Linked DNA regions of Caenorhabditis elegans. The protein of the gene in region 2 purifies or fractionates together with the protein of the main gene of each other region. This does not show direct contact. Each region holds a gene or a part of one and is shown on either strand. Other genes may lie near its edges. The genes, in order: T16G12.1 and R09H10.5.

What was found.
Region 1: the proteins of R09H10.5 (region 2) and T16G12.1 fractionate together in Caenorhabditis elegans (co-fractionation; one large-scale study listed by BioGRID). This does not show direct contact.

Annotation. Positions count from the first base shown.
Region 1 is NC_003281.10:10,046,803-10,052,029, forward strand, and holds the start of T16G12.1 (Putative aminopeptidase-2), read right to left. Parts: upstream 3,056-5,227; 5' UTR 2,942-3,055; coding exon 2,839-2,941; intron 2,536-2,838; coding exon 2,433-2,535; intron 2,057-2,432; coding exon 1,941-2,056; intron 1,886-1,940; coding exon 1,736-1,885; intron 1,687-1,735; coding exon 1,524-1,686; intron 1,093-1,523; coding exon 1,014-1,092; exon of another isoform or gene 944-1,013; coding exon 864-943; intron 813-863; coding exon 485-812; intron 434-484; coding exon 251-433; intron 22-250; coding exon 1-21. UniProt on the Caenorhabditis elegans protein: Putative aminopeptidase which plays a role in oocyte maturation.
Region 2 is NC_003282.8:10,622,634-10,630,521, reverse strand, and holds the start of R09H10.5 (EGF-like domain-containing protein), read left to right. Parts: upstream 1-1,692; 5' UTR 1,693-1,707; coding exon 1,708-1,759; intron 1,760-2,074; coding exon 2,075-2,193; intron 2,194-2,243; coding exon 2,244-2,296; intron 2,297-2,763; coding exon 2,764-2,897; intron 2,898-3,087; coding exon 3,088-3,232; intron 3,233-3,278; coding exon 3,279-3,355; intron 3,356-3,409; coding exon 3,410-3,601; intron 3,602-3,644; coding exon 3,645-3,777; intron 3,778-3,848; coding exon 3,849-3,987; intron 3,988-4,028; coding exon 4,029-4,160; intron 4,161-4,207; coding exon 4,208-4,355; intron 4,356-4,401; coding exon 4,402-4,466; intron 4,467-4,517; coding exon 4,518-4,932; intron 4,933-4,977; coding exon 4,978-5,184; intron 5,185-5,235; coding exon 5,236-5,662; intron 5,663-5,837; coding exon 5,838-6,018; intron 6,019-6,064; coding exon 6,065-6,203; intron 6,204-6,247; coding exon 6,248-7,356; intron 7,357-7,447; coding exon 7,448-7,567; intron 7,568-7,611; and 3 more. Other genes in the region: F56C4.4 (Activin_recp domain-containing protein), read left to right, coding at 917-1,045.

The DNA.
Region 1 (5,227 bases), on a different chromosome or scaffold from region 2:
GTCAAGCACTTGAAGAGTGTCCTGAAATCGAATAAACTTTGCATTTGAAGAGGAACAGATTATCAATTTGTAAAAGTTATTTAAAATTTTTCTAATTTTAGATATACGCTTGTGGAGATTTACGATAAGCAGATTTCTCTGTCAGTTTTAAAATTTATTTTGAAAAATTAATGTAAAATCTTGTTGGTGTCAAATATGAGCCAACAGTCTAAAATGAAACTGAATCTAGGATTGAATCCCAAAAACTTACCAAATAAGTTGCTTGCTGTGGGTAGACAGATTTTTGTATAAAAGTCATAAAATAATCAGCGAATCCTTCATTCAAGAACAAATCATCCCACCACGCAGTTGTCACAAGATCTCCAAACCATTGATGAGCCAATTCATGACACATAACTTTAGCAGCTGCTTCCATATTTCTCGTCGTCATTGTCTAAAATCCCATTTTTCCATTTCATTTTCTACATTTTTTCAATAGAAATACCGTTGGATTATACGCAATATATTGGTATTTGTAGATTATCAATCCCCAGTTCTCCATAGCACCTGCCAAGAATTCAGGCATTCCGAGTTGGTCAGCCTTTGAGAGTGGGAATTTAATTCCAGTATACTCTCCTAATTGGTACAAGCATTCTCCAGCATTTTGAGCAGCGAACTGAAGATATTGTTCAGTTCCAGGCCATCCCCATGCTCTTGTCAAAGTGTTATGCTTATTGACATATTGAGAATTCACATAAGGCCCCACTGCAAATGCAATGAGATATGAAGACATTTTTGGTGTTTGTGGGAATGTAATTGTGCTCCATATATTACTGCAAAAAATTTAAATAAAGTCTTTAAAAATAATTGTTTGATAATCATACTCAATTTTTGTAGGTTCTGTTTCCATCATATTTGAAAGAGCAACTTGGGAAGCTGGGTATTGCACAGTGATTGTGAATTTCTGAAAGTGTCACAGAATAATTTTTCATTAATTTTAGTTGTTTTGTCTAAGATTATTCTGTAACACTTACCGCTTTGTAAGATGGTTCGTCAAGAGATGGGAAGACTTTTCTAGCGGAGAACGGTTCCATATGTGTAGCAATCATGTAGCTAAAAAGAGGTTGAGTCGAATCAAGAAATCAGTGTGAAAATATTGACTTCAGCTATCGTTTCTTGAAGTATATCAGCACTGGCTGGGCTCAGTGTTTTTTATAGACACGTAGGTGGCAGGCCCCAAAAATGTTGTTTTATGCCTACCTTGGCAATTCGACAATTATGTTGCCCAAAACATTTAACAAGTGATGAGCGATAAAAAAAGAGCTTCAAAAATTTCGGCAAATCGACTACATAATAATCAATCTGTCAAAGTACGGTACTCTTAATTAGAATTTTATTTTCCAATTTCGAGTTTTTAAAAAGCAGAGGTCGCTCCCTTAACCGATATACTCTTAATCTAACAATAAATTGTATGTTTTCTGGAGAGTTTACTTGCACAAAGTTACAGAATTTCGCCACCACTTTTCTACATTGTTTCCCCTTACTGTGTATTTCCTTGTGGATCATTATATGAAGTGTAGTAAACCCCTCCATCCGTGTATGGATTGATAATACCGGTGTAGACAAATTCGATGTTGTAAATTTGACCAGCGACCACACCATTTGCATTTGTAATCAGTGATAACTGTTGCGTAGTGTCATCTTGTGCTATAAATCTTTTCTTGTATTTTTTATCAATATACGTTCAATTCCTTACAAATTGAGTTGATTGGCACTACAGTTCCATCGATATCAACCACTTTGTAGCTTTGAATTTTAAAGTTATAGGCATTCAGAATGAATCTGTCCGATGCGACCAATGCTTCCACTTGTATCGATGCTCTTCCGTCGAATGTGAAGTTTTTCTCTGTAATACTGATGTTAACTTGCATCATTCGAAAAAGTAATAAAAAGTTTAGTACCTGGTGCATATTGAACTCCAGGGCTTGGGAAGTATGGTTGGAACCATAGACTATAGTCAATGGCATACAGATTTGGTGGGAGACGTGTTTTTGTTACATAAAGGCTTTGGCGTTTTCTGGAAATTCATTTTTCATTATTTTTTGTAATGATTATGTTTTCAGAGCACAATGAGTTCTAGAATAAAAATTTCAGAATAGTTGATAGCTGTCACATGCAAGATACGGCATCTTTACGAAACTTTTCTTATCAATTTTTGCAATAAAATTGAACATTTGAAAACAATGTTTCGAGTGATTTTTGTTCTATAACAACTTTTTTTGCCAAAACCATTTTACGTCGTAGTAAAAAAATTACGATTCCAAACTCAAATGAGGCAAAGAGTAGTGTAATTATATGTTCAATAATTTTTGCACTTTTCACCAAAATTAAAATACTGTAAATTTAAGAACTTGATTTTAAATATTTTGATTTTGAACTAAAAAAGAAATAACCTGGCTGCAAGTTTATCCTGTCTAAAATTATCTGGGTGTTCCGGCAAGATTGATGGATGATTGAATTCGACTTCTTCCAAATTTATAGTTTCAGCATGTCCCTCTGAAATGAGAAATTACTATATTGTTCCTTCTAGTCTATTTTGTAACAAGCTTAGCTTTAACGGCTCAGTGAGCCATAGTGGCAATAAAAAATGCCAAAATTCTCACATTTTCACGTTAGATTACTTTCAATTTTGGAGATCAAGTAGCTTGTTGAGTGGGACATTCTCAGCTTCACATAGAAATTCAAAATTCACAAGGGAAATTCGCACCTAGTTTAACTTTTTGTAAGCACATATAGTATCAATTTTTCAAATTATGGGGGAATGTGCAGTCTAGCGTCATTATTAAAAAGTAGACAAACCTGTGAATTCAGATTCCAAACCAACATTATTCGGTGCAGGAGCAGTGGAGATCAAGCTAAAGAGCCCAATAAAACAAAGTAAGAGAAGCAGTTTCCGCCGCATTTCGTAGTCGGCAGCACACGAAATGAAAAGAGTAGATTATACAATCCTCTCGCGATTTTATCTTTGAAATTTTGAGTTTGCTCTCCCTATTCCGGAGCACGCAGCAGCCACTGTACTTTCCTTATCGGTTTCTGGGATGTGACATCACAACGAGATGACAAACCTAATTATCAATTTTATCACTTTTGACACACTTTTAATACTAATTCCCAAAATGTCAGTTCGGGACAGAGTCCGCTAATTGGGGAATCGGTAGTGATGCTGGAGAATCTCTAGAGCATTTAATGAAGATTACAGTTTTTAAAAACAAATGTTCGCAAATACCGCAAAACCGATTTAAATCCAATTTATGGTTTATGATGTGATTTTTTGGTTCTCCTTCCAGAGTTTCTAGTAATCAAAAGATAGTAATGACTTTTAGTCTCACTGATGACTGGTTCAAGTGCTAAGTCATCAATTTTTTATAATTACTTCATGTTAAAAATTTAGTGAATGATGGAAAAATATCAGTGGGCATTTTTTTAAAAGATATTTTATAGTAGTTCAAAAACCCCATAAATGTTGTCACTTGGGCTCCGCAGAGCCCGTCCGTCCCAACTTTGCGGATATAGGCGCTTGGTCAGGTTCACCCACGAACCCACAATCACCATCCGCATGAGTCGCTCACTCTCTGTTCCATTCGTTCACTCAGAAACATTCCATTCTTTAATTAATTAAATATTATTATTTGAATTACCGCCATTTGCGTATTTCCTAATGCAAGTGCGCCCCCCCCCCCCGCACACTCGCGTTATTGCGGAGCGTCGTACTCCCGTAAATCCACACAAATATTCAGATGCCTTTTTAGGCCAACTCATTCAGTCTTCACACGTTTCACCACGGATGCCACCCGTCCCCACGTCATCCGTTTGTTCCCGTTGATAATTCCATTTATTTATTCAATAATAAACTTGGATTTATCTAAAAGTGTACTGTTATTCCCTCTGCACCGCTCATCGTCATCCGCCGTTCGTTCAAGCTCCGTGTCCTCCGCGCGAACACACATTTCGCCGTTCTCACCCGTTGGGTCTGACTCCCCAGCGACTGCGGGTGTCAACATTGGTGCATCGACCTAACCGGCTCGTGAATCACTAAGTTCCGAGCCGGAAACGGATCCAGAGTCAGGGAGGCACGTGGCGCGGCTTCCAGCGGTCAGAGGTAAGTCGATTTCTTTCAATTATCGCCTTTTCTAGGTTCATTTTCGACTATCCCATTCGAAAATGGATCTTTACAGTCATAAAAAGCTAAATTTTGACTCTATCATGCTCAAAATCTGGTTTTATTTGTCAATTTTCGAAAAAATTTCGACTCTCCCGCTCGAATTTCGAATATTTGTCGTCCTCCAATTCATTTTCGTTTTTTCACACACGAATCTGGATTTTCTACGTGTAATCTTGATTCCAATTCGATTATCACACTCGCAACTGGTATCATTAGCCTTTTATCGCTCTCAATCACGAGTTTTCCGCGTTAAAATAGCTAAAATTGGTCAAAAAATCTTGCGTAATCTTGCGTAAACTCGATTCTGAAGAGAATCTCCCCCCGGAGCATCCTTCTCTGAAGAATCTCGATGAAACTACCCATTTTTCGTCGTTTTCAGCTCAATTCCCTTTGCTTCGTCATAAAATGTGCTAAAAATTCAGTCAAAATCTGAAATCTAGGCTCAATGTCTCTGCTCGGCCCTCCCTTCCGCGTTTAGATAATTTTATGTCGACAGATGATGCAATTTCTAGGATTAGCTGAAGTCAAATTGCGATTTATCGCATTTTTGTCGTCATTTTCGTGTTCAAAGGACTTGTTTTCTCAAGAAAACCGCGTGGCGGGTCCATCCTCGTCGATTTATCTCTTTTCAGCAGAGATTTCCTCCAAAATCTTCGTTTTTGCACAAAATTTCGATAAAAATGATCTGAAAATTCAATTTTCCCTCGATATCTCCGCAAATTTATCTTTTTTCCAACGATTCCATCACAAAATCCACTGAATCACCTCTCAAAACCTTCAACAGTTGGAATTAAGATTCTTCGAGGAGTACGGTACGCAACGGTGTATGCACAGATTCTGTGTACACCGCGACGCGCAACCGCACACTCGCAATTTCGAAATCGAATCCCAAAATCTTTCGTCATGATTTTCGTCGATTTTCGAATATTTTTCGCATTTCTTTTTGCATTTTAATGATTTTTTATTAAATCTAAACATTTTCCGTCGATTTTTTACGTCTCCTCCTCCTGAGACTCGTAATTAATT
Region 2 (7,888 bases):
AGAGTCTGCATGAAAAGGTTCAGAGTAACAGGATTTTCTGATTTATGCACATTTTCTTTGTATCTTTGCAGAATTTTCATTTACTTATTTTTTTTAGCAAAATAGCAAAATTAAATTTACGAGCTACACTCTACTTTGTTAAAAAATTGTTTTAGGATATTTGAATAACAATCCTGGTGATATAAATTTTCCAGTAACATGTGAAAACACTTTTTCAAGCATATAATTTGTAATCTGATCAGAAAAAATATTTTCTAGACCACCGTGATATTCACGTGCACATACACCACGAAGAAAGCTTGTTTGTGTTCCATTGAATAATTATGAAATAATTCGCAAAACAATTATTGCGTGCAACCTTCTATTAGTGCATTTTGTTTGATTTAACGTGCCAGGTACTCGGGGCAGCCTTATCAAATCTATTTCCAGCAAAACTTTCATCATTTCCAGCTGACTTCATTAAAATTACCACTTCCGAAAGTTGTAAGAACTTTTGATAGGGTTTCAAAAGACTTATGTGACGCATTTTTCAATACTGGTAGATTAGGCAAAGTAGTAAAGGGGATTGGCTATTAGAGTCTTTGAGCACAGATCACAAGTAGGTTACGCACTGAGGCTACACGTGTCAAACTAGATTTAAACTCAATAAAAGGGGGTTCTTGAACAAAATTCAAATGAATTGATTTTGCTTCTACTTTTACAGTTTTTTAAATATTTGTTATCTTCTGAACAATCTCCATTTCTGATCTGTAAGATCAAAGGATTTATCTATTTTGCAAAAAAAAAATTACATATTCGCCGAACTTTGAGCTTGTATAATACAGAAAACAAAACTGTTTCCTTATGAATTTTTTGAACCATGTTAAATTAATTGACTAAAGTTCAGTAGAGAAATAAGATTATTTTTATTTTTCAGGGTGATCGAGTTTCCACAAACATCGGAGTGACAACGAGATGCTGTTCGGAAAACATGTGTAACGATGTTGGAATTGAGAAAAGGACCAAGAAAGATTCAAGTGCAGGGAAACAAAAAATTGAACATTAAATTCAATGAGCGTTTTTTAAGTTGAAAACAAAGTTCGAAAACCGTATTTCTTCTATTAGTATGGCTGTGACTAATTCTCAAAGGGGCAAACTTCAGGACTGCAATGGCAAATATCAATATTAATATCAAGATTTTCCTGTGTTTCCGATTACTACTTTTCATTTACTTACTGTTAAAATTTCAAGTAGAATCAAAAATTTCAAGATTCAAAAAAAAAGATGATAATTGCTACAAGAAATAACAATAATTCCAATTTTTATCATTCGTGAGGTGGTTTTCTGACAAAAAAAATGAAGGCAGAGAAAAATACATACAGATTGACTGAAAATCAAAAATTCCGGAATCCGGATCTTTGGCAATCCGTAAATCAAAATGCAATGTAATCAATAATGCATTTTTCAAATATCCAACTTTCGTTTTATTTCTCCAAAAAAATTTAATAATAAGAATTGAATACACATTCGATAGCGCCCCATTTAATTTATGATTGTACTTTATATTTTTGAGGACCCAAATAACCAATAAAAGTTTCAAAATGAATAAATTCATTGATAAGCTAATGGGCGAGTACAGGCTAATAAAAACTGCAGTTTCCGATAAGCGATGCATGCCATCGAGTTGCCGATTTTGACTTCAGTTCGGTCGTCAGAGACCAAACCAAAATGGCGCCTGCTACAAAGGCCATTGGATTGCTACTGGTTATTATAGGATTGGGTAATTTTTTTAATGTTTTTCAGTTTAAAAAATACCGTATTTTTCTTATTAACGTTGAATTTTCGTTTCCCCATTTGACAGCTCCTTGTTCAAATTTGGTTCTGATTTAAAAAAAAATTAAATTTATGTTGAATCGGTTCCAATGTAGAAAGTGAATTATAAAAATAAATAAATAAAGAGTTATAATAACTGTAATTTTTATCCAAGTATTCCAAACAAATTAATTTTTCATAGACAAAGTTTGTCTGAATTTCAAATTTCAAAACGCAGAAACTTATTTATTGGTTTTCAAAAAAATTTGATCACCATTTACAGCCGCTGGTGTTCAATATGAAATTCGTGGTAACATTGATCTCATCAACAGTTACGATATCCATCCGGACTATTACAATGAAAAATCATTCACGGAAAAGTTGAACAAAGTTTCGGAACGGGTGAGTGACGGTGCATTACACGAATTTATTTTTCAAAAAATTATTTTCAGTTTTCACAAGTTGTTGGACCAGATTTCAAAGAGTTTTTTGTTCATGATTACAAGTGAGTACTGGAAATATTTAAAGAAGATGTATTCTGAATGAGGGAATTGCTGAAAAGTTTAGTTGAAGAAATTTACAATTTCTTTTGATTCTATAGCATCTTTTGGAACTGGAACTTTTTTATTTTTAATTTCACCATTTCATATATCTTTATTCAAATACAAATATGAAAAATACAGAAAATTTCGAAGAAGTTGTTTTATTAATTAACTTGAAGTAGTTTATAAACTGAAACAAATTTAGTTTTTGCAATATTTTGTTCAAATATAACATTTTATTGAGAAAATTTAAAATATTAAAATAAATCTGATACATTGAAAATTTCTTTATTTACATTTTGGTCCATTTTTCACACATTTCTATACACACACAATAATAAGATAATGTTTCCACAGTTATAATTTAAAAACAAGCAACTCATTTCCCTCTACCGATCAAAAAATTTCAAAAAATCATTCATAAATCCAGAATTCACGGTCAAGACACCGCAGTCTTCCATGCTCGTCTAACACTTGTCTCATCTCTAACAGTTTCCCGACAAGACATCATTGACCAAATCGTGGCGACGGACGACGTGCAAATATATTTCTTGCGAAAAAATGGTATGGTTGAACTCTATCATTGTGCCCCGTTTGTTCATTAATCAAATTCCGCCTTTCATCAATGTTAATTTTATCTACACTTGGTGGTGGAAACTGTAAAATATGTATTCTTCAAAGCGCAAGGTCGTAAATTTTGTGTTGCGTCAGAATGTGCAGTACACTTATTATTAACACCTAACATCAATTTCAGAATTTGAAGTACAAGGGGACAGTGTTTCGAGATTCAGAGTAGTTCGTGCTGACGTGAGCAATTGCTTGCATGGAGGTATTTTATTGCCAAATGCTACCTGTTCTTGCTTACCATACTATTCTGGAGCTAACTGTGAAGTGGTGACGTATGTTTTTATATTTGAATGTTTTAAATATAAATTTTATTTTCAGTTGCCGCAACAATGGTATTGGATCAAGTGGAAGATGTTCATGTCCTCCTGGATTGTATTCTGCTCATTGTGAAGCAAGTATGCTTTCAAAATCAATTTAAAAAATCAATTTCTGAAAATCAAAGTTTTCAGGAACTTGTGTCACCAAGATTGACTCCGTCGTTGACTTCTCGTCTCAGTCACTCATTATTGCTATCAACACTAGAACATCGATGGCATACGATTTGAGCATGATCATTGAAAATATTCCAACATTGGTGACGGATTACCAAAGTCAAGGAGTCATTCTTTCGAGCTTCATCGTCACCGTCTACAGATATACAAGTTAGTTTTAAACATAGTTTTGGTTGAAAACTTCAAATCTCAGAATCCGTATACTTCATGGAAACGAGTGCCTTCACAACATCCGATGCTATGATTGATTACCTTCACAGTGTGACCATTGCTCCATCATCTGATGATCAACCTCTTCTTGACGCTATTGCTAACTCTCAATCCACGTGGGTTTTAGATATTTTCAATAACTGGAGATCTTCAATCAACTTAAATGATATAAAATAAATGTTTTCAGCCAGCCAACAATGAGACCAAAATCAACTGTTTATGTTTTTGCTGATTCTGAGAACTTATTGGATCCAACTCCCTCAACGCTTCTCAGTAGCACAAATGAAAGCATGGTCATCCAGCAGACTCTTGCCTGGAGAAATAAGGTCATTTAAAGCTACAAACTCGTATACTTTTTCCATTTCAGATTATCTTTGTTCTCTCCCAAACGACATCAAGCCCAATTGAGCCAACTGGAAACCACTTCGATGTGCTCCGCAGAGTCGCTACGGCTGCTCATGGAGACATTTTGATGATTGATAAAACGGAAATTGTCGAAGTGAGATCATTTCTTATAACTCTAGATCAAAGTTACTCAATTCTCAGGTTCTCACTCATCTTCTTTTCTACACAATTGGTGGACAGAATACATATGTGCAATACTACAATAATGTTGCCAAAAATATTCCAGTGCAGTCGGATACACCAACACAAACAACATATATTATGATGACAGTTGAGAATGGAGAATCACGTTAGTCAAAAAATGGAATCTGCAAAATTGATGTTTTTTTTTTCAGTTCCAAATATTCAAGACACCAATGGTAACACATTGAAGCCCACATCCTCTGGACGAAGATTTGCTGTGAGCCTGAGTTAAACTATCACCTATCACATAATAAAAATAGGTTTTCAGGTTTATCGTGTATTCCAAAGTTCAACCACATCAGTTACCATCACAGGAGACACAATTCCACTTCATAATACTCGTGTGTGGTTCACTTCAATGGACGATGTTCTTGTGTCATACTCTGAAGATGATACTGTTGATAACAATTATGCTCACACATTCAATGGATATTATCAACGGCCATCTCTATATTCTTCGTTTGCTACAACTACAAGTCTCTCAGTTTCAACCGCTAATTCTGTCACTTCCGGTGTGATTTCTGCTGCTGTTACAGCGACAGCAAAAGCAACATCATGCATCTTCCAGTACCAAATCGCAAATGCTACTTCGTGTACTCCAGGTCCATATGTTCATAATGTGGTTGTGTCTGCTTCCGATGGAAACAAGTACCGTGCAGTTCCAGGATATTGCTTCACGCCAGGTATGTAGTCTATTTCATTTTTCCGATCAAATACGACATTTTTAGATTCCCACATGGCCGCTCCGTGGTCATGTCTCAACAACGGAACCCGCTCCGGAATAAGCACTTGCTCATGCACAGCCAACTGGGGTGGACTTCACTGTGAAGTTCCAAAATGTGTGAATGGAGGATCACCTGACAAGTTCCCCAACGGTGGTGGTCATGGAAACTGCATTTGTCCATTTGGTGTTTCTGGAAGTTTCTGTGAAATTTGTAAGTTTTTCAGTCTTCTCTGAAATCAGATTCATACCTTCACTTTTTTAGTGACATGCAGCACCACATCCCCCGACACCTTCCAATCTTACAATCGGTCATTTGCTGTTGTTGTTCAAAACTCTTTATCTGCTAATCAAGCTCTTGTGCGGCTTAATGATGGTCTCCGTGCAATGCTCAATCAAGGACAGTCTAATGATTTTGAAGATTTTGTGCTTACGACATTCAAGGCTAGAACAGTCAACGGAGCATCATTCCCAGATGTATCGTCGTCCAAGTTCAGCTCAGCATCTGCTTTCCTTAACGCTACCAACGACATTGGAATCGGATATTCATATTCTCCAAGTGGACCTCAGCCAGGACTATTCGCCTTGGAAACTACAATGAGATCAATGGATTTTGATAAATCCTCAATTTTCTTCTTCACTGATTCTGCGTCTTCGGTGGTGGAAGCTTCGATGAACTTCTCCGATATTGTGTAAGTTAAGAGTATTAAAAAGTTGTTGTTTGTGAATTTTTATATGTATAAGAATGGTACCATATTTTTTTCCGTCAACCTAGATTTCGATTTTTATCAGTTAATATTATTTAGAATACTTTATCTTTCTTCAAATTGTTTGTAATGTCCGTATCTTCGATCAACTGAATTTCAGTCAAACCGCAGTGGAACGTCAAATTGAAATCTCTGTAGTCATCATTCCACCATATGGATCCACTGACTTCTGTACCGACATTGGAACATATGAGATTTATGAAATCCTTGCACAACAGACTGGTGGAAACTTTATCAATTTCTGTCAACCGTATACTACAAACGGAGATCCTGTGTTCAATGTACGTTTGGAAGATTTAAATGTAAAATAAATTCTCTGAAATTCAGTTCATTGCTTCGTATGGAAGCACTCATCATCACACAGAGGTTGTTGCTTACTATAATGTTATGGATTGTTCGCTTTTTGCATCCCGTTCGTTTTATATTTCAAGCGCCACAAATGATGCATATGTTGTCGTTTATTCTCGTAAGTTGATCAAAACCAATTACGATTCATGCGAAAATTTTCAGCTACGATTCAAAACTTTACTGCTTCCGTTACTAATAATGGTGTATCGCAGTCGTTGGTTGCTGATTCACATTCAGTGCCATTCTTTGCCAGTTATCAAATTAAAATCAGTGCTGGATCTTCGTTGCAATATGTCCTCCAACTTTCCTCTAATACCAAGGCACAGTGCTTTGTCAGAATCACCGAGCGCAGTCAATTCTCCGCTTACCTTGGATTCTCTCCTGATCCATCATTTGATCGTTTCAGTAGAGATCTGACTTATGCAACTCATCAACAGCCAGTCATTCATCTTTCTTCAACTCTTCAATCTGATCCATCAATTGATGTCACTAGTTATGATAACAACAATAACATTGCTTTTACTTCATTGTTCACTAAACGTACATCTGGATGCAAGTATGAATACATCATGAATCAAGAATACACTTGCCAAAGTGCTGGAGATACATTCACAATGGAAACTACCATTACGACAAATGAAGTGACAATCATGAGAACTCAAAGAGCTTACTGTAGTGATTTGATTGGATGTATCAATGGAGGAATCATGTTGGGTGGAAATTGTCAATGTGTCAATGGATACACGAGTCTTCACTGTGAAGTACCAACATGTCAAAATGGTGGTTCGGTAGTAGACTTTAAGTGTCAATGTCCTTCTATATATGATGGAGATTCTTGTCAATACACAACCTGTAACACATGGAACTTTGTAGAGACTCATGATCCAAGAGAGTATAACTTCCAGCAAATTGTTTTTGTCGTCGAAATCAACACCAAGAATATGATCCTGCCAAATTCGTATCTTTTGAAGAATATCCAAGCATTTGTGGATTCTACTGATGACGTAAATGTTCCAAAGCAATACACTCTTGTGACCTTCGATGACACTAACATCAAAGTTGTTGCATCTTCCACGCGAAAAGATGTTTTCTTGGCAGCCTTCCAAAAAGGTATCACTGTTTCAGTGAATAGTCCCACCAAAGTTAGAGGATTGGAAGCTATTAACACTGCATATGCAACACTTGTCGATCTTCCTGGAATTGTTTATGTGTTTACTGCAACCAATTCAGCAAGCAATCTCGATGCAGTCAGACAACGTTATGGTGTTCAGGTGAAATTTTGAATATATTATCCTTTTTTTGAAATTTTTGTCGCTCTAAAGATTGAAAATGAATACTTAAAACTTCTGAATTTACTTACAGGTCAACATGATTTGGATGGGAGCTGATCTCACACCTGTAAACGTAAACTATTATTATGCAGCCATTGCAAGACAATCAAATGGACGAGTCCTTCCAGTCAGCCCACTTCAAACTCAACAGGTTATTTAATCAAAAGGCTTCGTTTTTCCAAGCAAGTATTTCAGATTCTGAGCGCTCTTACTCCAACTGTCAATGAGAATCAATTGATTCTCGATGATGCCGCCAAGGATTGCAGTGCTGGAGTGAACTTCCAGTTCCCAGTCGGAAGTTTGGCTACGACACTTACACTTGTAGCGACTGGAACTGGCGTTTCAGTTACTGTCACAGATGAAAAATGTAAATTTATTTTGTATTATTTTCCCAGTACTTGGACAACAAGTGCATCTTTTGATTTTCAGCCAACAACGTCGATTTGACCAACTCCACTACCTTCACCGATGT